Xenopus tropicalis: one gene and its partner. The protein of the gene in region 1 binds, or shares a complex with, the protein of each later gene. Links are inferred from orthologs where the notes say so. Each region holds a gene or a part of one and is shown in the gene's direction. Other genes may lie near its edges. The genes, in order: zmynd8 and dbn1.

What was found.
Region 2: the proteins of zmynd8 (region 1) and dbn1 are in contact, whole or in part, in a crystal structure (PDB 5Y1Z), measured with the Homo sapiens proteins. The link is inferred for Xenopus tropicalis from reciprocal best matches to the Homo sapiens genes ZMYND8 and DBN1. Residues at the interface, in NP_001350670.1 of Homo sapiens: Gln167, Pro168, Gly169, Thr170, Gln236, Ile237, Val240, Lys243, Ile244, His247, Trp269, Leu285, Gly287, Phe288, Phe307, Gly309, Gln310, His311, Asp312, Ala314, Thr335, Lys336, Ser337, Ile338; in NP_004386.3 of Homo sapiens: Met1, Ala2, Phe6, Ser7, Arg10, Leu11, Leu14, Tyr17, Glu18, Asp92, Ala93, Cys96, Ala97, Ala99, Ser100, Lys104, Glu107, Phe108, Gln110.

Annotation. Positions count from the first base shown.
Region 1 is NC_030686.2:37,276,311-37,280,130, forward strand, and holds part of zmynd8 (protein kinase C-binding protein 1), read left to right. Parts: intron 1-920; coding exon 921-998; intron 999-1,962; coding exon 1,963-2,078; intron 2,079-3,385; coding exon 3,386-3,820. UniProt on the Homo sapiens protein: Chromatin reader that recognizes dual histone modifications such as histone H3.1 dimethylated at 'Lys-36' and histone H4 acetylated at 'Lys-16' (H3.1K36me2-H4K16ac) and histone H3 methylated at 'Lys-4' and histone H4 acetylated at 'Lys-14' (H3K4me1-H3K14ac).
Region 2 is NC_030679.2:45,916,703-45,921,071, reverse strand, and holds the start of dbn1 (drebrin), read left to right. Parts: upstream 1-1,511; 5' UTR 1,512-1,564; coding exon 1,565-1,782; intron 1,783-4,369. UniProt on the Homo sapiens protein: Actin cytoskeleton-organizing protein that plays a role in the formation of cell projections. Required for actin polymerization at immunological synapses (IS) and for the recruitment of the chemokine receptor CXCR4 to IS.

The DNA of each region.
Region 1 (3,820 bases):
TAAAAGTTATACCCTCATACTGTACTGTCTGTGGCAAACAATATGGCAGCTCCTACCCTTGTGTAGGAATAACAGTATACAGAGAAGTCCACTTGCTTCACTCAAAGTAAATAAATACAAACACTACCTATAAATGGACTTTCCTTTGCCTGTTGTTGGTTGTGTTGTTGGTTGTGTTATACAGTGTGGCTACATATTGGAGGCTGGTACTTGATTGTAAATGAAATGTAGAGCGTGAGAGTAACTTTCATGATTACATAGACTACTCACAAACCATTGCTAGTGATTTTTCTGCCTGCTGGAATTATCCATTGGAGTCTGGCAGGTGTTGGGGATCATACAACAGGGCTGCAGGAGCACCTTCATGCTTATATTTGGCTCTACATCGCTCTGCAAAGAGCAGCAATTTGTTAGTGAATTAATTTTTCGCCACCTGGTGTTCAGTAGTGGAACTGTGTAAAGTGTAACAATGTATCAGTGATTATTTCTGCTAGAGCCAAGTTAGAAGATGTCCATGTTATCATGATCATTTATTTATATAGTGCCGCCAAGTTACACATCACATTATAATAATTAATGTGAGGTCCCTACTCACATGCGCTTGCAGTCAAAAGGTAGAGGGAGCAGTTGACATGTAACAATGTCGGCAAAGTCTCCCAAATCACATTAAGTACAAGTGAAACAATTGGCAGCTCGCACCCATATGTTTAAATATATTCATATACAAACAGAGAGAATTTCGGTGCACAGACAAAAACTGCCATCTTTGTACTGTACTGTTCTGTATAAGGGCCAATAAAGATGACAGTTGCTCATTCATGGGATGCTGAAGATATCAACATACACCCCCAGCTGCACAGCATTGTTTTTACAATTGGTAACATCTCGATACTAACCTCATTCTATTGATTCCTTCCTAGATGAATGAAATTGAAGTCTGTCCTGAATGTTATTTAGCTGCTTGCCAAAAAAGAGAGAATTGGTTTTGTGAACCCTGTGTAAGTATTATGTTTGTTTATGAATAGGACACTGGGCGTTACACTATCCTTAGTCACTTTAATTTGTCTTTTATCCTACTGAGACTTCTTTCACCGGCAGCTTTGATCTGTTATCTGTTGCTTACAAATCAGATCTCAGGGGAGATATCACTAAAGGCGCCATAGTATTATGGTATCTCTCTGTACAGGCTATGAGCAAACTTAGGGGGCTGTTCCTGCTGAATTGTGCTTAGTACAGGGGAATCCCTACGCTGCCATAGTTTTATGGTATCTCTCTGTACAGGCTATGAGCAAACTTAGGGGGCTGTTCCTGCTGAATTGTGCTTAGTACAGGGGAATACCTATGCTGCCATAGTTTATTGTAGAGGTATGGGATCCATTATTTGGAAACCCACCTCCCTTAGGCTCCAAATAGTGCCTTGTACTTGATCCAAACTAAAATATAATTTATCCTTGTTGGAGGCAAAACAATCCTATTGGCTTTATTTAAAAGTTAAATGATTTTTTAATAGACATAAGGTATGAAGATCCAAACTATGGAAAGATCCCTTTTCCAAAAAACCCCAGGTTCTGAACATTCTGGATAACAGGTCCCATATCTGTATCTCTGTACAGGCCGCGAAGACAAGTAAAACTCTGTGCAGACTTGTTCCTGTTGCAGCATTGTCTATGCAAAATAAATTATATTTTTTAATATTTTATTAGTGATTTTAAAATATAGATACTGTATATTTTTGAAAGTGTTGTGATCTGCTGCCAAAGGACCATCCAACTGGAAATTTTTTTCTGGCTCACAGCCAGCCCAGGGCAACACTGACTTCTATACTCCAACTCCCTAGACTTGTAAAATATTAGATGATCGGCCTGTCACATGGAACATTCAGACAGCTGTGTGCCACAGTAATATTACATAGATCTGATTCCTGATTGTACATCATGTAACTCTTTCTGGTTTTCTCTTTAGAGCAATCCACACCCATTGGTCTGGGCAAAATTAAAAGGATTTCCCTTCTGGCCTGCAAAAGCACTTAGAGATAAGGATGGACAGGTTGATGCACGATTCTTCGGCCAGCATGACAGGTGGGAGAACAGTTCTCAGTGTTCTGATAATGCTAATATGTTCAGAAACACCAGATCATAAACAAGGAGCAGGTTATTAGCAAGGCTTTATATATCCCCCCATTGTAAGCAGCAGTCCTGCCCTGCTCTATGGCTGAGATTCTAGCTATCTGTATAACAGAGCATTCTGTCACAGTGGCACAGATCCTATCTGATCCCCCCATTGTAAGCAGCAGTCCTGCCCTGCTCTATGGCTGAGATTCTAGCTATCTGTATAACAGAGCATTCTGTCACAGTGGCACAGATCCTATCTGATCCCCATTGTAAGCAGCAGTCCTGCCCTGCTTTATGGCTGAGATTCTAGCTATCTGTATAACAGAGCATTCTGTCACAGTGGCACAGATCCTATCTGATACCCATTGTAAGCAGCAGTCCTGCCCTGCTTTATGGCTGAGATTCTAGCTATCTGTATAACAGAGCATTCTTTCACAGTGGCACAGATCCTATCTGATCTCCATTGTAAGCAGCAGTCCTGCCCTGCTTTATGGCTGAGATTCTAGCTATCTGTATAACAGAGCATTCTGTCACAGTGGCACAGATCCTATCTGATCCCCCCCCATTGTAAGCAGCAGTCCTGCCCTGCTTTATGGCTGAGATTCTAGCTATCTGTATAACAGAGCATTCTGTCACAGTGGCACAGATCCTATCTGATACCCATTGTAAGCAGCAGTCCTGCCCTGCTTTATGGCTGAGATTCTAGCTATCTGTATAACAGAGCATTCTGTCACAGTGGCACAGATCCTATCTGATACCCATTGTAAGCAGCAGTCCTGCCCTGCTTTATGGCTGAGATTCTAGCTATCTGTATAACAGAGCATTCTGTCACAGTGGCACAGATCATATATGAAAATCATTTATAGGGATTCTGTCATGATTTTTATGGGGTACTTTTTATTTCTAAATTACACTGTTTTCATAGCAAATAATTCACTCTACCATTTAAAATTTTATTCTTGAACAAATGTATTTGTAGCTGTAATATTGGTGTGTAGGCGCCATCTCAGTGCATTGTGCCTGAGTCTGAGCTTTCAGAAGGAGCCAGCGCTACACATTAGAACTGCTTTCAGGTAACCTATTGTTTCTCCTACTCCCATGTAACTGGAGGAGTCCCAAAGACATTGCTAAACAATAGAGGAGTAAACAAAACCCAATAGATTTTCTAATTATGTAGGTTTTATGAATCTTAATTTAGTGTAATGTTAGGGGATCATTAGTATCATTTTAATGTAAATGTGTTAGTTATTTAACATGATTCTTAATGATTTCAGGGCCTGGGTACCAATGAATAACTGCTACCTCATGTCTAAAGAGATCCCCTTCTCTGTAAAGAAAACAAAAAGCATTTTCAACAGTGCTATGCAGGAGATGGAGGTCTATGTGGAGAACATCCGCAAGAGGTTTGGGGTTTTTAATTACGCCCCTTTTCGGACACCTTACACGCCTAACAACCAATACCAAATGCTGCTGGATACTGGGAACCCAAGTGCTGGAACGGCCAAGACAGAGAAACAGGAGAAAATCAAACTGAACTTTGACATGACAGCCTCGCCAAAAATTCTGATGAGCAAACCCATGCTGAATAGTAGTGGCGGGCGGCGGATTTCTTTAACGGATATGCCACGCTCACCGATGAGCACAAACTCTTCTGTTCACACTGGATCTGATGTGGAACAGGAGGCGGACAAGAAAGTAGCATCAAGTCA
Region 2 (4,369 bases), on another chromosome or scaffold:
TACTCTGGAACTCACAGCACAAGTTATTTGTTTGCAGCAGGAAAAAAAAAGCTTGAGGGGGTCCATTAATAAACAAAAACTAGACAGAAACTATAGGAAAAAGAATATTATAGCAAATATCAGAGTTATGAAATGTCCATTGCAACCTGGAGTTGTTTTTATGTAGTGACAGTTCCCCTTTAAATATTTGTCACATATAAATCTGCATCCTGGTTGGCTGATCCGTTATCAGGTACATCCTGTGATTGAGAAATCAGTGCAGTCTGCAGCATGCATTTGTGCTGATTACTAATGGGCCCTGCAGCACATGGATTTGATGAATGGGATTGAGACATAAAGTGAACAGCCCTGAGCATGCCAAGCTGACCCCCATATCATGCATTTTATAGGGAAGGCTTATAAAGGACTAAAGTGCAGGCTGCACATCAAATGAATGTTGCCCTACAGGAAGCATATATTATAATAAAAAGTAAAAAGGAAGCTTTGCACATGACACGTAAATATCCATTTATTTGACTGCTACTGATTTGTAGCCAGTATTGCTGTAAATGTCATTTTGTCTCCTGTAGCAGGACGTTTTAACCATCCAGTGGCAGCAAAAAAACATTCATACCGGCATTCTTATTTTGGTTCCGTTTGCCCTTTCTTTTATAAGCAGGGCTGCCATCAGAGATCTCATTTTCCAAGAATTAAATATTGACTTTTAAGGCCCTAGAGAAAATGCTTCCTACAGATGTACTACCTTTTACCCCCACCCCCATGCCTGGTATATAACTCGCCCATAACAAGTTCATGATATGCTCCTACCAGTCTGTACTGAAGCCCTTGATGTGCTCACAACAAACAGCAGCCTGGATCAATACCAAAGGGTTTGTGCCACTATTGATGTTAATGTGTAACCTATTATATTACATAACACTGGAATTCATTTCACAGAACGTATTGCACATTTCCACCCCAAAATGTTTTTTTCATAATGAAATAAAATATAATTCTAAGCAACTTGCCAAAATAAGTATATTATTAAACATTTTTAATGGTTTTAAAAGTTAATTGTAATTGCAAGCACTGTTAATTTATCCCTTTTTTTCTTAGATCTGACTGCTGAAACACTGTTACAGGAGTCAGGTCTCCTCCAGGGTCTGTTAATCAGCTGCCTTCATCTATTATTTTTTTAGGAGTCAGAACCAGTAGTGCAGATATTATACACAGGCACAGCATTCAATAGCAATGCATTAATTGAGCAACTTGGATGTATTTTGGAAAGCAGCTTATAATGATATATAGTGTGTCATTGTGCAAAACCATTTGGATGGACATCCAGTTTGAATCTGTTTCCCTGCATGAGGTACAGCTGGGAGATGCAGCAATATTACCAGCCTGTGTGCCTTAGGTTCATGCTAAACTACAAATGCAAGTCTCCTCCCACAAACTCTAGGAGGATGCTGGGAGTTGTAGTGCTCTCAGTGCTATAATGCCGCACACACACACGCAGACTGTCTCCTCATGATTTAGGAGCCAGTTGCACATTGTATTGGCAGCTTTAGGACCCGGCGGTTCAGCGATGGCCGCAGTCCCTCCCCTTCCCCAGCTGCAGTGTGTCAGTGCGCCCTCCTCTCCCCATCCCTCTCCTTCCCTCCCTCAGTCCGCTGCCTTCTCTCTCCATCCCCCGGCACTCAGCGAGCCTGCAGCCGGCATGGCCTCCGTTAGCTTCAAACCCCACCGCCCGGAGCTGCTGGCAGCCTATCAGGATGTCATAGAGGAGCAGAACTCCATTGACTGGTAAGCGGGGTGCAGGGAATTGGGGTGCAGGTTCTAGAGCACACAATGGAGGTGAGACAGATGTATGCAGTGCATGTTGCTATGTTCCAGTTGGCGATGGTACCAGTTAAGGAGTGAGGTGTAGGTGATTGGGGTGCAGTTTCTTTAGGGCACACAGTGGTGGCACTGATGTAGCAGTGCTTGGAGCTAAGTGCCAGCTGGCGATGGTACCAAGTGATGCAGCACGCCTAGCATGCCAATGGGGTGCCTGGGGTAGCCAGTCATGCCTATTGCTGAGAGCTGTGGCACAGATTACTGGATGCTGGGGGGATAACTAGTGTAGGGTGGCAAGCACATTGGCATTTGGAGGCAGGGGAATAGCCACTGATGGCTGCAGGACAAGAATACACAAAGCCCAGTGCACATCCACACCTCCACATATCACCGGCCATTAAGGCTTGTTCTACTGCAGGCTGAATGCATAACATGTTAACCCTATCGGCATATTGGAGCTGGGTCCAGTCATTGCCGTAATGCCCACTTGTGGACTGGCGTTGAATGGATTAGTTCAAATTAGGAGATCAGCATTTATTACCTTTCTTTCCAGTGCACTCTATTCTGGTGGGTCACATCTTTTATGTCTGCTGGTGGGAGGGGTCTTAAATGAATTAAGGAAGGGAGTGGGGTGCAGATGCCTCTGCTCAAGGGGTGCAGTGGGTAAAGCCTGACACATAATAGAGGGGTGTGGCACATGAGGATGCTGAAACTGCAAGGTCAGATGTACGTAGTGAAATAGGAAGGGGTGCGCTGAAGGTTTTAATTGTGTGTAAGACATAACCACCTTGAATGTATAATGTGCAGTTCAATCTATCATACATGTCAGCTCTTACTGAACTAGCAATCTCAACCTCTGGCTGTTAGAGGATGCTGGGAATAGCAGATGGGCAACAGACAGACTGAGCAGCTCTCATTGTCTAGCCACAGAGTTCTGTGTAGGTTTGCAATGAGTGGAAGTGCAGAGTAGTCGCTGGATACAGTGTATTGTTCAGGTTATGTGTACGTGCTAGAGATTCCTAGTAGAACATAGGGCTGAAAGGCACATACTGATCTTTCAGGTCCGGAGAACTGCGTTCATTTTTGCTTCATCGTTCACCCCCTTGTGACCTGCAGGCTTGTTCCTAAACGCTGGCTCCTGCATGGGGTGCTGGGCTTTGCAGGCAGCATGAAGCAGCAGGGTTCTGCATTGCCAGGCACATTTCCTGATGCACAGATGCCCACACAGGCTGGGATGCTGAGCACAAGGGCTGAAGGGGGTGTATTGTCAGCTAGGTTTCTTTGTGTCTCGCCTTCAGTAGAAAGGGAATTGGAGCACATTACTGGTGAGAAGGGAGGGTGGGTCACAGGACTGAAGAGAGAGAACATATTTCGTTTTTCATGTTATCTGAGCTTTTTTTTGGGGGGTACAAGTGGGAGGAGACCTTGGGGAGACATTGAGAACTTACATTTGGGTGGGTCTATACAGAATCTGTTAGGGTTGGGGGGAGGGTGGGGAAGTCTGCCAGGGTGAGATCAGACAAATGATTACAGCATGTGAAAAAAATGGTTGAGATCAGCTCACAGGATTGTACCAGCTTCATGGGGGGATTAGGGGAATTCAGGGGTTAATGAGGTGGGTAAGGGGGGCACGCATACCTGGGGATGGGAGAGCTGGACGTAGAAAAAGATATTCTCTGTGCAAGGAATCTGTGGGTGTTAGCTGAAGGCATGATGCAGATCTAGTTACTAACGCTTTTGGCCGGCTTTGTCCTGTGAATTGTGTTCTTGGCTCTCAATCTCGGTTTTTCTTTGGATTACCTCATCTTTCCTTCCCTAACCTCTTTGTATTAATCTCTTTGTCTTTTCCCCTTTTCCCTTCTCTGGTAGCTGTTCTTTTTTGTTCTGTTTTCCACAATTTCCTCCAAAGACATACATCTCCCTATATCCACTGCTCATAGTTGCACCATCTACTGCCTGTTATACTCATGTGACTGCCCAGCGTCTGAACCCCCTCACCTGGCTGCCCGGCGCCTGAACCCCCTCACCTGGCTGCCCGGCGCCTGAACCCCCTCACCTGGCTGCCCGGCGCCTGAACCCCCTCACCTGGCTGCCAGTGTCTGTACCCTCTGACATCATTGCCCCACAACCTCTTACCTGACTCCTCAGCGCCTGTGCCACAACCTGCCTCACCATACAGGGCACCCACCAAGTGGAGACTTTTAAGGATAGTTTTGGAAATTCTATAGATTGCAGTGTAGGTATAACAGACAGTGGCTCATTACATGGAAAGTTTGAAAAGCACTAATGATGAATGTTATATCCAACTTTTGCATTAATATTTGGTATAACATGACTTTGCTCATATGCTTCTCAGTACCTCTTCATACTCACCACTTATTTTCTTTTTCACTACTGCGTTCATTGCTGGTGGAGTGACATTTCTTACCCTTTAATGTGGGGAAACCTCTAAAAATGTGTGTTACAAAAGCACTCAGATCCATAGTTCCTGGTGGCAGGAGTGTCTGGTGCTAATTGTGAAGTCAAGCCACCTTAAAGGGGCAGACCTCACATT